Schizosaccharomyces pombe: one gene and its partner. The gene in region 2 interacts genetically with the main gene of each other region. Each region holds a gene or a part of one and is shown on either strand. Other genes may lie near its edges.

What was found. Genes that interact genetically often act in the same process or in processes that back each other up.
Region 1: mutations in shf1 (region 2) and ins1 together harm fitness less than expected from each alone (positive genetic interaction), as found in Schizosaccharomyces pombe (one large-scale study listed by BioGRID).

Annotation. Positions count from the first base shown.
Region 1 is NC_003421.2:415,318-419,512, forward strand, and holds ins1 (INSIG domain protein), read right to left. Parts: upstream 2,351-4,195; 5' UTR 2,261-2,350; coding exon 1,688-2,260; intron 1,482-1,687; exon of another isoform or gene 1,463-1,481; coding exon 1,299-1,462; exon of another isoform or gene 1,216-1,298; coding exon 1,107-1,215; 3' UTR 840-1,106; downstream 1-839. Other genes in the region: histone H3-K4 methyltransferase Set1, read right to left, coding at 1-210; family protein BIG1, read right to left, coding at 3,159-4,002, 4,065-4,156.
Region 2 is NC_003424.3:4,807,481-4,813,370, forward strand, and holds shf1 (histone H2B-K119 ubiquitin ligase complex (HULC) subunit Shf1), read right to left. Parts: upstream 3,929-5,890; 5' UTR 3,788-3,928; coding exon 3,290-3,787; 3' UTR 3,006-3,289; downstream 1-3,005. Other genes in the region: phosphoinositide phospholipase C Plc1, read left to right, coding at 306-3,005; CCR4-Not complex subunit Caf16, read left to right, coding at 4,619-4,742, 4,822-4,941, 4,987-5,585; formin Fus1, read right to left, coding at 5,745-5,890. UniProt on the Schizosaccharomyces pombe protein: Component of the histone H2B ubiquitin ligase complex (HULC) which plays a role in transcription regulation by catalyzing the monoubiquitination of histone H2B to form H2BK123ub1.

The DNA of each region.
Region 1 (4,195 bases), on a different chromosome or scaffold from region 2:
CCTTCCACTTTTAGGAATACCGCGGGCATATATTGGATTTTTAAGTCTAGGGTCGCGAACTACTAAAGGTGGTTTTGAAACACCATTAAACCGATATATAATTTTGCGACCAAGGTTCTCCTTGATTCCTAATTCTGGATCGTATAAAACTTTGTAATTATTCCTTTGAACGGGTTGAGATTTCGACCGCGTAGAGGTATTAAAATCCATGGCTGATTAATATTGAATCCAAGTAGCAAATCCCAGGCATTCGATCAAAACAAAAAAGAGCTATAAAGTAAAAAAAAAAAAAAATCAAGAGATATTAAAAACCTGTGCACTAAATCAAAATCAAAAATTTGGTAACAACTCGATAAGTGTAATTTATTCCAATAATGAGCCTTGACAAATTATGAAAAAAAAAACGTTATGTAAAAAGAAATAATATCGCCGGGATGAAGAGCTTTCTATTGTAAAGTATTTGAACCGTAATTCAGCTTATAATTGGAAAAGTATGTCGCGCGACGTTACTTTGTAAATTATAACAATATTCAAAAACTCAAGTAAAACTTGATCAGTCTTCAAATAAATACGTTCATAAGGCTAATAACAAGTAAAAAAGCTCTGTCAAACATCCGTTTGGCCAAACACAAAGTTTATAGGATCTCTGTGGATGTTTGTGTAAGGTAGGCCAATTCATATTACGCGCCACAGTAGCTCTTATAGCGAAATTTAGTAAAATCGTTATCCAAAGATACCGTTGCATATTACACTACCAATGTTGCTGAAGAGAAGCAAGAATAAATGGCTTGAGAAAGGAAAACTTGTAGATGAATGTTTTAGAACAAAGACATAATTATAAACTACATGAGGAATATTAGGAATCATAATAGAAAATACTAACATGAAAAGATTGTTGGTACATGATAGAAAACCGATTCGCACACAACGATGAATGAGACGAGAAGGTACAAAAGGATAATCGAATACAGAAAAACCAAATAAGTGCCCAGATGCGAAGTAGGAAAACATTTAGCAAAACAAGTTTAACCCGGTTGTTTTGGATAATGAAGTCTAAGGCTAAAAAGAGAACGTAAAGCACAAACAACCAACTCCTAGAGAATAAATTAAAATAGTAGACGACCAGCGTTACCAACAATCGTAGAAGCGGAGAAAAGTATCATAGGAATCCATAAACGAAACTGAATTTCAGGGAATTCAACTCCATTTAACTCACTAAATTTGTTAGCTGATAAACGAATGTTTGAAAATACTGGAGCAGCCTTTGGTAGGCAGTTGATGGATAACAACTAACATACATTTTTGAGGTATCAACCAAATTATAATATAAGATACTCCCCAACACAGAAGTAATTGTCGACAAAATAATACCGTTTCTTGAGCGATCAAATATATACCAAATGCTAGCAGAACTCGCAACGAGTGCAACAATGGAGTGTGAATTCGAAATAAATAGTAATTTCTAGAGATAAGTTAGCAAGAGTATATTCACGATGCATAGTAAGCATTGGCAAAGAGGGTTTACTATCAAACTTAAATTCTCAGAAAACAGCACAACTTATTTATGGTGATGAATAAACTATATCAAGAAGTCGTTACGCATAGATAATTGCTGTAACTCCATACATCTTGCATATATATTTCACTTTTTTATTTAAAGGAACGCCTCGTATAATGTAAAACTTACCTTCATAGAAAGTAGCAATGTAGCGAAAGCAGCAAGATACCGAGAAATCCATTGCCATTTAGACGATTGTGAAGGGCGTAAAGGGGCAGCTCCCAAAGGATACTTCGTATCCATACGTCGATAAGAGAGTCCAAGTATGACAGCAACGAAGCCAAAAATTGCAGGCCATGGGGGCTCAAATTTCCAACTTTTGAGATTGACCGTCAGAAGTGGTAGCTTTGCATCTTGCACAATTTGTTCAGCCAAATAAGTAAACACAAACCCTAATCCAAATATAACACAAAGCTTACAAAAAAAAGTTATTAAAGATGAATAGTCTATAAATGTTATCCCTTTCTTTCTCTGTTTCTTTAAATCATCATCGATCTGTCTAGACGCGTAATCTTCATAACTACTCAGGGATTCATCATCTTCTGCCTGCTCTTCATCTAATTTAAGTGGAGCAAAAAGCCCTGATAGTGTCGATTTCATATTGTCCAAAGAAAGTACCGACAAGGACTTCTTGACCGCTCGATTTCCATTATAACCATCTGGGTAGCGCGGACGGGGTTCGTAAATCTCTTTTCTGCTCATTTTATTCAAGCTTACGGCACCTTTCTGTAGAGATCCTTGTGAAACTGACTAAATGGATGGAGAAGAATCAATCTTTACGTTTAGGTACTTGGCAGAATCGAGACATTGCACAAAACACGCATAGCCCAGTGACAAGTAACAATTTTGAGTAACAAAGATCTCAAGTAAGAGAGATCTGAAATGAATAAATATTTACAATCACTTTTATATGTGAATTTGACCTTTCTAAATTATAGAAATATACTCAAAACTTTTCTGCATCCATATTACTCTTATTGTTAAGGTATATTGTGCTTTGATCACTTGAAGATGCATGCCATAAGTAATGACAATGTTAACTAATAACGAAAATATCCAAGGAAAAAACTCTCGCAAACACTCATTCTACGAAACAATCAGCCACGAAGAAATTGCTTTAAATAATTAAGGAAATTTCATAATTGAGTCTGTATGCCTAAAGTGGTTTCTCTAGTTTATTCAAAGTATAGCAAATTCATCTACTATTTTTAAAACCGCAAAACAAAAATATTAATTGAATAGAATACAAAAAGCAAAACAAAGTTATGCTGACTACATGATGCCAACAACTTTCACCTTCCGTAGAGAATCATCATAAAGAAAAAACAATATTATGGTTATAAAGTTTGTCTCATCACAAGAAATAAATTCTTCAGTCCAAAAAACTATTTAATAGACTTCAATATATTAAAAAACAAAGATCATTCTAACCATTTGGACACCTAAGGAATTGCGCTGAAAGGTAAAAATGTCACCAAACTATACTTATCAAGAACCATTTATGACAATAATTTTCTTCTAAATTAAGTGTGAGATGTATCAATTATGAAAGAAAGAAATAAATTGAAACTTCTTCAGCTTATTCACCTTAAGAAGAGGTTTATAACTGTTTGCGTCGAGGACTATCAAAAGCGTGATAGCTGATTTGAATAGAGGAAAGTAAACGGCAAGAAATAAACAAAGTTGGAACCAATACAGCCAATGCCAAATAACCCATGTACAAACCAGGAGTAAAAAATTGATATTCGGTAAACAGTCCCGTCGCACCATTGTCGGTGACAGGGTGCTTCCTTGTTTGGTGCATAGCAAGCGTGGTTTGTGATCCCTCATTTTGATCAGGTAAAGAAGCCAATTGGCCGTGTTGAAGAGCACTCTTCCCTGAGTTGAGACCACCTAGCGTTTGAATTACAAATTCAGCATTGGCCTCTTCTTCGTTAGCATCAACCTTAAATCCTTCAAAATCTGAGTTATTCAAAGGAGAAGAGGCTATAATTACATTCCACTGAGCATCTTGTTCCAAGGTAGATTGTAAGTTGTAGAACATTTCATCCAATTCCATTAATTGTGCACTTCTATGATAACTTTCATTTGACAGTTCATTCATGTAAACAACAGTTATGCGATCATTTTGAAGAGGAGGAAAAGCATTAAAGGATCCACCCAAGTAAACTACCTCAACGTCGCAGTTTTGCTTTGCCGAATGCACCAACTCTTGTGAGTCCAAAGACTCCTTGGAATAAGGAAGAAGTAAGCTATAGGGTGATTGCAAAGAAACACGCTTTAAATGTTTAAAAGCTCCCAACTGAAAATCATTAACCTCAAGGCCTGGTTGATGTATAATTAAGGTAGCTGTATTGCATGTCGAAAGTGCCTCAATTGCGGCGTCAAAAAACATCATAGGGCAAGTGGATATTGAAGAATCATCGGATGATTTGGGGAGTTTGCTGTTTTTAGTTAGATTAAATAATTTACACAGTATAATGCCATCGATGGATGCAGGACATACGAGTTCGTAGAAAATAAGAAAATCGGCGAAGTATCTTTAAATGCTGATACTAAAGAAAAGCAAACTATAAATAAAATACTCCAAGAAAACATTTTGACACTAAATTTTCTTTACTTTGGACAAGTTTGGAT
Region 2 (5,890 bases):
ATTAAACCAAAGCGCGCTTGCCACTAACGTTAACAAAAGTCTCGGATGTAAGCTCCTACGATATAAGAGGTAAAAGTTCCGAAAACAACTAATTTTTGTCCCTATAATAATATCAGGCTTACTTGATTTAAAGTGGTGGATTGAATCTATGCTCATATGCAATTTTGAGTGCTATCCACTTATCTTTATTGACACATACACGGCGTATTGTTGCTGAATGAAAACCGAAAAACCGAAGAACTTTTAAATATCAACATAATGATCAAAAAGCCAATGGCGGTGTAAATCCTTAAATAGATATCATAATGAATTGTGAAATGGTAACGTCGCCTGAATCGGTCAACTTAGGAGACTCCAACAGAGCAGTAAGTCCATTTTGCCTGCCCGATTGCTCAGAAAACGCAGTTGCTCAGACGAGGAGTAAAACCTTAGATAATGCTGCTTTGGATCTCCCATATGTTGGCAATAGGAAGAAATCGGAGCAGGATTTCTTTAAGATGCTATCATCAAGGGATCGCGATGCTCATAGTACTCTACGTAAACGATCAAATTCTTTATCTTCTTTTCTGAGTACGAAATCGACATCAGCTTCAGAAAATAAATTCCATGGAGGATTGAATTGGCTTTCTCTGAAGTTAAATCTTTTGCTACGCTTGCAAGGTCGAATGAATTCTGCGAGAACAAATACTTCAATGAACCCTTACTCATGCGATAGTAACGAAAACTTATCTACTCTGAGCTCGGTGAATCAAAACTTTAATTCTCGACAGCTATTAGCTACTATAGTCCCTGAATCTATTCAAAACGGATGCTCTTTACTTCGTATAACCAAGAAAAAGGTGCGCCAACGTAAAGTCTCTTTAGACCCTATATCTGGATATCTTATGCTGGACAAGAATACTGGTAAAGCTTATAAGAAGCTTTGTGTTGATGACATTAAAGAAATTCGACAGGGCCGCGATGCTCGTAATTATAGAGAACAGTACAAAATTTCTTCTGAGAACGAGAAACGCTGGTTCACAATTATATATTGTGCTGATAATAAATTAAAGGCTATGCATATGATATCTCCAACTTTAGATGCGCATAATCAATGGATTATGGCTTTAGAAGGTCTAAAAACTTATCGATTGAATGAATTTATTATTGGACTTAATCTCGTTTGCCATCAAGGTGAAAAAATGATAGATTATTCAGAGAATTTAAATCCCTGGGAAAAGTTAGAAAAGGAGCAAAGTGCACAGTTGGATCTAGGAGACGTGCATCGCATGTGCCAAATGCTACATTTGAATGCATCAATGGAGTTTTTAGAAGAAACATTTCAAAAGGCAGATGCTGATCATTCTGGAAAGCTAAGTTTTGAAGAATTTCAGCATTTTGTAAGCCTTTTAAAAACAAGATCCGAGATTGTAGATATTTTTAAAGAATATACATCTGGCTCTGACAAGATGTCTTTGGAACAGTTTCGTCACTTTCTATCAACTTCTCAAAAGGCTCGTTTGGATAGTGACTCAATTAGGACTTTGTATGTCTCTTTTTGCTCAAATGATGATTCAAAAATGGGTTTGATAGAATTTACTTCCTTTCTACTTTCTCCTCATAATTCTCCAGTAGTTCCTGTGATACAAGATATGTCGCGACCACTGAATGAATACTTAATTTCTTCGTCGCATAACACTTATTTACTAGGTAAGCAGTTTGGTGGAGAAAGTTCAATTGAAGGTTATATCCGTTCGCTACAGCGTGGCTGCAAGTGTATTGAAATCGATTGCTGGGATGGACCGAATGGTCCTGTAGTTTGTCATGGACATACATTTACTTCTATGATAAAATTTAATGATGTTATTGATGCTATACGAAAATATGCTTTCGTCGTTTCACCTTATCCATTATTCATTTCTTTGGAAATTCATTGCTGCCCTGACCAACAACGTCAAATGGTTAGTTACATGAAACAAGCATTTGGGGATACTTTGGTGATGAAACCCGTTACCGCTAACGAATCAGTTCTTCCTTCACCCGAAGATTTACTGAACAAAATTTTGCTGAAAGTCAAATGTTCAGCAACACCATTGCACCAATTTTCGACAGACATACTGAAGGTTGGGATAACTGATTCTTCGACTGATACTACCGAATCATCGGAGCTAGAAAATTCAGAATTAACAGGGTTAAGGAAAGGTAAAAGACGGATGAAAAATATCATTGTGCAGGAATTGCAACAGCTTGCACCTTATGCCCGATCATTGAAATTTCGAAATTTTTCTTTACCGGAATCAAAAACGTATAGCCACATATTCTCATTTTCGGAAAGGACTATAAAAAAGCATGGAAAAGCTATGGTTCCAAGACTTAGCAAACATAATTTACGCTATTTGTGTCGTGTATACCCTGGCCCATTGAGAGTAGGAAGTACAAATTTTAATCCTCAGGTGTATTGGCGCCTGGGTGTGCAAATGGTTGCTCTAAACTGGCAAACTTATGATACAGGTCTTCAAATAAATGATGCTTTGTTTATAGCTGATCCTCCGACTGGGTACTTGTTAAAGCCACCTTGTCAACGAATAATTGGTACAACAGTTGGCGAAGAAGGACTTCCTCGTAAAATAAAATTAACAATAGATGTCATATCTGGGCAACAACTTAGAAGAGCTAGAGAACTTTCTAATTCTGAAACTCTCAGCCCTTATGTTGAGATCCAAGTTCATTCAATGGAAGAATCTCCTTTTCGTTGGTGTTCCAAAGTTGTGCACGAAAATGGATTTCGACCTTTTTGGGGAGAAACCATGGTTTATGAGAGTATAATTAGTGATGACTTTTATTCCATGATCCGATTTCTCGTCCATCATCGAGGAAGTAATGGAAATGACTCTATATTTGCTAATTTTACTTGTCCGATTGACAGACTGCAACAAGGCTATAGACATATTCGTTTATTGGATATGCAAGGCGAAAATTTGTTATTTTCGAGTTTGTTTTTGAAAATTAAAAAAGAAGACATTTAGAACGCTGTGTCCATTACAGCACTTTCACCGTAATGAAACTTCAGAAAATCTAAAATGCATATTATACGTTAAAAGGGAGAGAACCGAAGTAGTCTGAGAATGTTTAGAGTGTATGAAGCGTTTTTTTATTTTTATTTTTTTTTTTTAAAAAAAAAAACGCTATACAAAAACATTCATGTTTATAAATATGGGTTTGGGATAAAACTTTCAATAAAAAGTCATAATAATATCCACAAAGCGGAAGCTCAATGATTTGTACGCAGACGATGATTGCAATAATTTATTTAGAAGCTGACATTATTTACAAAATCGTTTAAGCTTTTTACAGCTGCATCACTACGTAGACCTTCTCGGTATATATCCGTTCTAATTTTTTCCCAAAAATGTACTTGTTGAGCGTATTGTTGTTCGACATTCAATAAACTCTGGGATGAATTCTCGCACGCAGACTTGCAGCTTTGAAGTTTACTTGACAAACTCGAGTCTGGAAGATTAATCTTCGGCAATTCTACATTCGTATCCGTAGAAGCTGCCCCAAAAGACGCTCTTGTTGAATTATTGCTAGGGACTCTATAATGATAGGGAGAATTGTGTTCCTTGGAATTTGTAGATGAAGAGGGTGAATCATAACTAGATCTGGGTGTTTTTGTTCTTTGATGGTAGGATTGTCGGCTCCTATAACTAGATTCATAAAAACTGTTTTGATCAACGTTTGATTTCAAAGGACTACGATACTGGTGGTCGTTTCCATCATAGTGGTAGTCATTTCTTCTGCTGCTCATTAAAGTGAATAATTAAGTGCTGATATTAATGGTTCTTTTTTTTCACGAAAAATGTACACTATCTAATTAAAACAATTGGTTAAAGAACCGAAAAATAGTAATACTTAATTCAATTAAAATCACGGTGTGAGAAAACGGTTTGAGGTAAGACTATTTTACGTACCGCGTTATATAAAGCCCTTCGCCCATATCGATGTTTGTTTGTTGTTTAATATATTAAGTCTAATGATATGGGCAATACTACGTTGAAAAGCTAAAATCGTTTAGCAGGAATGAAATAATATTATATTTATATTTTTTTATTTGAGAAATGTCCGCCTGCTGTTAAAAAATTCCATGCGAATGTTAGGTTTGTCTGTTGTCTTAAACGAAATGGGGTGACCTTAGGAAAGTATTATTACTTAGTTTTAAGCCAAATAATATGTAGCATAAATTGTAGTTGATTACAAATGTTATCTGCTTCTATCTCCTATATATATTGTTTGCCAATTGTTCCATCGATGTTAATCATTTTTCTTTCCAAGACTCCGCAGGATGTGTGTTCAAGGTCTTAATAGCATCTCCAAATATGGGCAGCATTACTTAATAGTTAAAAAAGGTTCTTTACAAAGACTTGGAAAGCTAATTTATTAGTACGAGGTCTTGCTTATAACAACTTTACTGCATTCCCTCCACACTTTACTTGATACACAGATGTACTAAACACAATCCAGCTAACCCACAAAGTTTGAGTGTTATTTAATTTGCGCCTTTTTTTGGATCCTTTATATATTGTAAAACTAAGTTCTTAGATAATTATATTTTACTACTGTTAAAACATTCTATTTCAAAATGGAAGTAACTGTTTCAAACCTCTCTTACACGTTTTCTCCAAAGCAGCCTTTAAGTCTTGATCACGTAACTTTAGATCTTCCTAAAGGATCAAGGACTTTACTTGTTGGAGCCAATGGAGCTGGTAAGTTTCGCGGTGTTATGGAAATTGATGAAGAATATTTAAATGCTAACTGATGTCCTCTTGGAATTTTGTTAAACAGGAAAATCAACTTTACTTAAACTTTTATCTGGAAAATCGCTTGCGAAAGCAGGACATATATCGGTGGGTGGTAAAGATCCTTTTCGTGAGTCTAGTTCTGCATTTGTTTATTTAGGAACTGGTAAGTTCTTTTAACATCAAATTTTACTGATGTGTGCGTTTGTAGAATGGGTTAACAACCCTGTTATACATAGGGATATGAGTGTTGCACGATTAATTGCTTCTGTTGGAGGAGATAAATTTGCCGAACGTAGGGATTTCTTGATTTCAATTCTTGATATAGATCTTCGTTGGCGAATGCATGCAGTGTCCGATGGTGAAAGACGACGTGTTCAACTATGTATGGGACTTCTGCGTCCATTTGAAGTACTTTTACTTGATGAAGTAACTGTAGATTTGGATGTTCTTGCCCGGGCAGATTTGTTAAATTTTTTGCAAGAGGAAACGGAAGTAAGGAATGCTACTATTGTTTATGCAACACATATATTTGATGGTTTAGCTGAGTGGCCAACTCACTTGGTCCATCTCAGTCTTGGGCGTATCGTGGATTATGGACCAATATCCAAGTTTGGTGCTCTGATGACAAGGTCCTCTACGGGAAATAGCGCCCTTCTAGAGACATGTTTGGAATGGCTCAAAGAAGACAAAAAAAATAGGGGAACTCGAGAAGAGGAAAAGCGTAGTACCTGGGACGACGTTCAAGAATCATTAAAAGTTGGAACTGATGTATTTACTGATTACTTTAAGATTTCCCGAGCAAAATAGATTACTAGAAAAGTTATCCTTTAGATGCTTAATTCTATCTTTAACAAGCATTACAGTCTTACTAGAATTAATAATTATACCTTTTATTAATTATAATTTCATTATAATTTGTTTAAGTCATTTAATTGTCATTAAAAGTCATTAACATTTCAAACATCATTATCTCTTAAGTTCATTGTTATTCTCCAGCTGCTTAAGCATGCATTCAGCTTTAAGGACGACTGTTTGTCTCTTTTTATTTGAGCCTTCTAGAGTTTGTTTATCATTTTCATAATTCATTAGAGTTTCGATTGTTTGTTTCGATG